Xenopus tropicalis: one gene and its partner. Each later gene encodes a partner of the first gene's protein in a complex. Links are inferred from orthologs where the notes say so. Each region holds a gene or a part of one and is shown in the gene's direction. Other genes may lie near its edges.

The links. Proteins that work in one complex are often made in the same cells at the same time.
Region 2: alyref (region 1) and sarnp share a complex: the UniProt entries of both Homo sapiens proteins name them as parts of the transcription/export (TREX) complex. The link is inferred for Xenopus tropicalis from reciprocal best matches to the Homo sapiens genes ALYREF and SARNP.

Annotation. Positions count from the first base shown.
Region 1 is NC_030686.2:27,889,731-27,893,478, reverse strand, and holds the end of alyref (THO complex subunit 4), read left to right. Parts: intron 1-419; coding exon 420-551; intron 552-1,104; coding exon 1,105-1,252; intron 1,253-1,333; coding exon 1,334-1,397; intron 1,398-1,939; coding exon 1,940-2,117; intron 2,118-2,862; coding exon 2,863-2,877; 3' UTR 2,878-3,108; downstream 3,109-3,748. UniProt on the Homo sapiens protein: Functions as an mRNA export adapter; component of the transcription/export (TREX) complex which is thought to couple mRNA transcription, processing and nuclear export, and specifically associates with spliced mRNA and not with unspliced pre-mRNA.
Region 2 is NC_030678.2:138,199,119-138,202,772, reverse strand, and holds part of sarnp (SAP domain-containing ribonucleoprotein), read left to right. Parts: intron 1-2,208; coding exon 2,209-2,260; intron 2,261-2,772; coding exon 2,773-2,846; intron 2,847-3,143; coding exon 3,144-3,172; intron 3,173-3,654. UniProt on the Homo sapiens protein: Binds both single-stranded and double-stranded DNA with higher affinity for the single-stranded form. Specifically binds to scaffold/matrix attachment region DNA. Also binds single-stranded RNA. Enhances RNA unwinding activity of DDX39A.

The DNA of each region.
Region 1 (3,748 bases):
TTTGGCCCCAGGGCCAAATGGCGGATTAGCCTAAATTCCCCCGATATCGCCCACCCGTAGGTCGCCAAGTGAGTGGATCTTAATGTGTACGGCCACCTTAAGATCTCAAAATCTTGTATGAGTGATATGGCAGCAGATCACTGGTGCCTGCTGTGCCCGGTGTCATTGTCCTAAGGCTTTGTAGCATACCTGCATGCAGAGTAATGTTACCTTAGTCCTCTTAGCTGGAGCTGATATCTATCCTAGATGTCTGACTGCACCACCTCTTTTTTTCTCAAGTGTTAACCTCATTACTCTCGTTGTATGGCAGTTGGTAGAGTTTACCTTTTTGAGATCTCTTGGCTTCAGTGTGGGCATTGCGCTACAGGCAGTGTTTTGTGGCTTTTGGATTAATGACGTTTTTGTTTTTTGTTTTACAGCCGAAACAACTCCCTGACAAGTGGCAGCATGATCTGTTCGATAGTGGTTTTGGTACAGGCGCTGGTATGGAGACTGGAGGAAAACTTCTTGTGTCAAATCTTGACTTTGGCGTTTCTGATGCAGATATTCAGGTGAGGAGTCACTGGCTTAATATGCGTGTTTTTTGGGGGAGGGATAGATGGCATTGTCACCCACATAATTGTGCTTCCATAATAAATTTTTCATTGGAATTGCTGCAGATAGAACATTTGAATCTCCTCTTAGCGATAAAATGTAAACAAGGGCCTTCTTGCACAGTGCAAATATTTTAGCTAAAACACGCTCACACCTGAACTTTGTGGTATTTTATATCCTCCACAGAGCACATCTGACCTTTATTACTCAGCTGAGTGTTCACCAATAGCAGGGCATTCCAGGAAGTTTCACTTCTGCTTGAAAACCTGCCTGAAACACAACTTTTTTTTTTTTTTAAGCTCAATCCTATATCCAGAGGAGAGTAACTCACTGGTACATATTTTATAATTTTTATAGGATATGTCTTCAACCATGCAAATGCAAGGAAACTGTATAAAGTTGCAAATAAGTTGGTCACAATCACTGCAGTAATTCAAAAGCTTTTACTGATATGGTTAGGCTGTACTTTCGCTACTCTGCAAATCAGTACATGTGGTGGTTTCTCAACAGGAGCTCTTTGCAGAGTTTGGTACTTTAAAGAAGGCAGCAGTACATTATGACCGATCTGGGCGAAGCTTGGGCACTGCAGATGTGCACTTTGAAAGAAAAGCCGATGCTCTGAAAGCAATGAAGCAGTATAATGGGGTACCACTGGATGGTGAGTTGCTTAACATGGCCAACTATATAAATAAAATACATAATTATCTTGTCTAAAATCAGCCCTCTCCTATTGTTGTAGGTCGGCCCATGAACATTCAGTTGGTCACATCACAGATAGAAGCACAGAGAAGACCTATACAGAGGTAAGGAAAAAAGGTTTATTTAGCTTGGATAATGTATGTTCTTGATATTGTAATTTATACTAGGGCTTGCAGCACACTATATGTTTCCTTTACCTGCAGTGGCTGAACCACTGCTCTTGGCAGACTGCATGAACACAGGATGTATTATGGTGCAGAAATTAATATTTTGGGCTGCTTTGCTGCCAGGCCAGGACAAAAGCACCTGCTGCATACTAATAAATTATAAGGACCATTTAAGCAGATTGTGGTGGAAAGGCTAACTACACAAGGATCAAAGTTAATTTCAGAAACATTTCTAGTTGCATGTGCCTTTAGTTTTGAAAGTAATTTCAATTTTTTTTTTTTTTTAAATAAAACCTTTGCTTGCAATGCAGGGGTTCTGGCTTGTGTCAAGGGCTCTACATCATTCCTTTAAAAAGTCTGCTTTATATTAATAGCTAATATATGCTATTTTAAATTTCACGTTAAGATATACTGCACTATGAGTGAACTTTTCAACCCCAGCACCATTAATGTAGTAGTGTTTTTTTTATATTTTGCAGCCAAAGTAGGGGTGGTGGTATCACTCGGCCACGAGGAGGAGCTATAGGTTTTTCTGGTGCAAACAGGCGTGGCGGCAGAGGTGGAAATCGGGGTCGTGGAAGGGGGGCTGGAAGAAATCCAAAACAGCAGTTGTCAGCAGAAGAGTTGGATGCACAGCTTGATGCTTACAATGCTCGGGTAAGAAACTACAGGATTTACTACCAGTACAAGTTGATATGGGGACTGGTCCGATTGCCATCTTGGAGTCGAAAGAATTTTTTTTTTTTTTTCCCCATTGCAGCAAATTAGAGAGGCTTCAGATGGGTTTTTTTTTTTGCCTTCCTCTGACTGTTACTAATTTTCCAGTAACTACTAAGGGATATTCACAAATGTTAAAGGAGACATATTGGATAAGTGGGGAAAAACCCTAATTTTGTAGGCAATTATGAATAATAAAGTGCTGGTTTCCCTTTGGGCTAAACATTAATCCTATCTGTAAAAATGGCCACTTCCACAATTGCTCTATATAGGGAACTTGAAAATGAAAGCGAGTTCGTGGTAATTTTGCACAGATGTTCATAGTAATTTTGGGCAGATTGTGCAAGAAAATGCAAACCATAGATATTTTTCAAATAGGCAAAAGTGCACAATGAAAGCCCTATTCATTGCACTTATGTTGAGTAATGAATACTTTTTAGGGCATATATAGAATGGTGTGCAAGCCAACATCACCAGAGATGTTGCCCATAGCAGCCAATTAGATCTCTGCTTGTGTTTTCTAACTTGTAGGTGACAAATCTGAATTGCTGACTGGTTGCTATAGGCTACATCTTGGGGGTATATTTGTGTCTAAGCAAATATAACCAAAATTTATAACTAGTGCTTAGTTTGACAACTATTTACAAATGATAAATTCTAAGCATGGTCTTTTTCTCTTCCCCAGATGGACACCAGCTAATCCCTTCTGTCTTGTTCCTGTGATGTTGCTTGCTCTGAAGAAAAATGTCAACAGATGGATTTTTGTTTTGCTTTTATTTCCCATAGGTTTTAAGCTCATGTAAAGTCTTTTTCATTTTTTTTCTTAATTTCTATGTCCGATGCAGACCTGTTTTGTACGGAGTTATTTTGGGACATTTTATTGGTTGAATGTTGATGGTAGGGTGCTCTTCACCTTCCTCTAATAAAAAAAGAAAAAAAATCAATCTGTTATTCAGTTGCTGTTTTTGTGTATGGGATGATTTTTAAACTTTCTCCAGGTGTCCACCATATTTGTGTTCTCTGACCGTGTTTACATGCCTTCTTAAATAGTATTTGCTTTTAAAAATTAGGCTAAATTGTAAAAAAAATGCAAGTCAGATTTAATGGTCACATTTTGCTGCATGGACTTACCAAAATGAGACTTAGTGGGTGATTGGATGTTTAGTTATTAGATGAATTTGGGAAGTGTACATATATTGGGTAATTTGCTATGAGGGTGGTTAAAAGAATATCATCATAGTAGTTCCTATGGAATTTGTAAGTTGAGATCACTGAAGGTGAGAGAACTGGGTACAATCTTTTCTAATTATACTTCTTGCAAACTGCTTTCTCTGGCAATAAAAACATGTGTTCATAACTGGCTGATGTGCATGACTTCCATAAAATCTATTTAACTGTAGATCAGTGTGTTTTTTTTTTTTTTTTTTTTTTTTTTTTAACAAAGGATGTTTGTAGAAAGGTTTCTCCCCTCTTATTCAGGGTCTATTTAAAGATAATGGGACTATTTAAAGTCTTAGGCTACTGCCATACAGGAAACAGGCAGAGAATCTACCCCTACACTCTGAAGCATT
Region 2 (3,654 bases), on another chromosome or scaffold:
GCATGTTAAGTTTTTGTAAACCAAGCCTGGCATACACTCACACCCATGCAGGAAGTCTGGCGGTAGGACCCAGCTTGCAAGGGAGTATATTTCTAACCAGTTATAAACTTTGTTAAACCTTTTAAAAATGTAGTTTGTTTTTTCCTGATGTGCATCTTACTTTAGAATTCCAGTTATGGTTAAATTAAAGTGGGGGATGTTTATGGACTATCTTGGATATGCCAAGAGCTACAAGAGATTCATGGTAATAACTACATTTGCATGTTTCTGTCCACAAGATGGCACTCTGTACCTACTGACTAAAGAAAGGTATAGGCTTAAGAAATGGTCTTTTCTGTCATTGTTATAACCAGTTAGTATACAGATAAGTGAGAAGTCATTGGTTAAAAAGTTGTTTTTTTTTAATAAATAAAAAAAGAGCTTCTGCATCATCCTAAACAACTGCCAATTCCTCTTCATCTTGCAAGCTTTGGTAAAAGATCGTATAGCTGCAGGAGCTTTTATCCCCTATTACTATAACCTTTGTAAATTTTCCCTTTTGGCTAGTTTAAAGTGTACCATCAAATGTAATGAGAAGTCACAGAAAATAGGACCCTTTCTGTATTTACCTTTGTTGGGGATATAAAGGTTTCCCATCAGCCAGTACCCCTTGGATGTACACAGACTGTTCAAAGACTTATCAGATCAGCATCCTTTATTCAGACTGCAGCGCAAATGTTTTTCTTACCCTGAAAATACTTTCTTTTCAGCAGACAAGAGTTTTGGAATCATTTTCTGAGCATACGGTTATTTCCCTTAACTCACCCCCTTCTTTTGTTAAATATCTAGGTGAAGCAGTCAGTACATGCCCAGATTTGGTCAGGTGGCTTGACTGATATCAACTATACTGCACAAATATAAGGGAATGTATGTAACTTGGACTGGGGGATATTTTTACAGACAGTTGAACTAAAGTTCCAGTGTACCTTGTCAGTGTGTCAATGGGGCATTACAGATCAAGTGACAGGAGGCGCCTTGTCCGTCAGTTTTGCCAATCTGTTGTATAACTTTAAGCTTAGAAAGTATGACTGCCAAATGGCACCGCCTCTTTATTGTGATTGTGAACCCCAGGACAGGAGGAAACCTAGTTTAATAATGTATATAGTGTAAAGTAAATCTTATTATGCTCAGCTACATGATGGATAAGGACTTAAAATTATTTTTTAGGGTGATGTCCTCTTTAAAGCCACATTCAATCTGCAGCCTACCAGATGGTGCCATGCTGCAACTCCCAGCATCCTCAAGGCTGATGACAGGATGTTGAAAATTATAGTTTAGAAACATATGGAAAGCTGCAGCTTGCCATGCCTGTATAAGGGTGCCAGAAGTACCATATTGGATATGCATCTATTGTAGTGCCACAGCGTTGGTGGTCCCACAGTAAAATAGTATTGCCTGGACTGATTGTCTTTTGACCTTTAGTTAAACTATCTGAACTTGATCCCAAAGAAAATAGCACATATAAAATTCCTTTTGATGAGTCTTAAAACATATACTAGGTATTTACTTCACTGGGGTGAGTAGAATAGCACGTCCTGTCTTCTGACCTCATTGTGCTTCCTGTGAAAGTTGTTAAATCTTTTACTGTCCCATGGGAAAGGCTGCTTCCAGGATTTGGGAACAAAAGCCTCGTAACGTTCCCCCTGAGCAAGAAACTCTTCCTTTATGGGGGTGTTACGACCCACACTTTATGGGAGAGGGCTTTATAATAGCTGACACCACTTCACTTTCTTTTTCTTTTCCTTTTAGTGCCTGGGAACTTCCTAGGAAGAAAATGTGCTTTTATGCCCTTTTCCAGCTCACACGTGTAGTTTTTCTTTTGTAATCTACTGTCCACTTTATTTGTATTTAACACACTTGTTTGCCTCTGAGGCAGTAATACTTGCCTTATAAACACTTTGATATTGATGTTTTGCTTTCTCAAATCTGGCTTCGTTGCTATGTTTTGGAGCTAAGGTTTACTACATGCATGTCAACTTTATTTGTCTATTTCAGCTATAAAGAGAGGTTTAGTCAATCAGTGGCTTTACATCCAAGACTTATCTTTTCCAAAAAATATATATAGACAATGTGTTTTGTAGGAAAGATGGATCTTTCGATACAAAGACACCATTTTGTCTTATCAGTGCTTTGACCTGCTGCTATTCATATATTTTTTAATTCCAACAGAAATGCAGAAAAGAAGCTGGTGAAAATTTCCAGCAGTGCTTCTGAAACTGATGTAAGTAAAATCTGTGTACATCTTCTTTGTGATGCTTACCTGTATATGTTAAATATGCCAAGTGCTGCCTGTATGGCTAGCACTTATTGAGCTCCCTCTGCCCTGAATGTGACCAAGTGTTAGATTCACAACACAGTTCTTGTTTTTAATAGAGTTTTCTGCACAGTGGAGGAATTTACAGTGCAGCTGTGTTATACACAGGTTGGACAGATAACCCAGTTAGTAAGTAGCACACAACTGCTACAGATTTGTCTGTGGTAATCCCTCCATAGTTTTAATATAAAGGGCGGTGGTATATAGGTTGAGTGTCATACAATACATTTCTCTGTCAGCAGACAAAGTGCTGATACTATGTAGTGCTATTTTACACTGGCAGAAACAACAAGGTATGTATGTCTGCTTTTTCCAAGCCTGATATTTATTACCTTAAACGTCTGAGCTTATTGATTAATAGTTGTCTGTAGCACCAACTGTTTTGGACGTAACCATTAACAAATGTTCTGCTTTTACAGAAGCTTCAAAAAAGAGCTGAGAGGTTCAATGTTCCTGCCAGTGTGGACAGCAAAAAAGCAGCTCGAGCCATCCGGTAAGCATTGAAATACTGATTTAAACAAAGGTTACCATGTTATTATTGTTACTCTATTCCTCATCTTTCTGTTCAGGCCCAAGTAAAAAAAAAAAAAAAAATATGGATACCAGTTGCAAATCACGTTTGAATGTCCAGTGTCAACATCATACTAAAAGTTAAAGATGAACATCCCCTTTAAGTAGAAAAAATGCTAACATTTCACATCTGTTAGAGTGGATGTGAAATATTAAAATTCTAAACTGAAATAGGTCTCGTATATCTTTTTTTCTTACACTTAATTTTTTTTTTTTAAAGGTTTGGCCTTTCAACCTCAGACAAGAAAGGTAAGAAAACTGGGTGTTCTGTATGATTAAACCATTTCTTGGGCAAAATAATGTGAGAATATGTAGTAGATTCTTGTATACTTGTTTCTGATTGGCTGCATTTATTATTTTTTTACCTATTCAAAGTGAAATGCCTTCCTTCAGGCTAATTATACAAGTTCTTAAAAATCTTTTAGAAATCATATCATCATTGAAGTGTTCAAAAAAAGTGTATATTGAAGATACCAGACATACTGTTTACAGAGAACGCAGTGTTTGTAGCATAAAAACAGTGTTACCCTTCCACCTCATTACATTTTCTATTTACAGAAGGGAAACATCATTAACTGACCAATGCACGACTTGGCTCTGCAACATTGCCAACATTTAGTTTTTGTACATTTAAGGAAACCTAATCCTTAGACACTTTACATTCTGGTTTGGTCCGGGCAACCCTGATTGTGCTTTTGGTGGGGATTGCTTGGTAATGAAAATAAGACCTT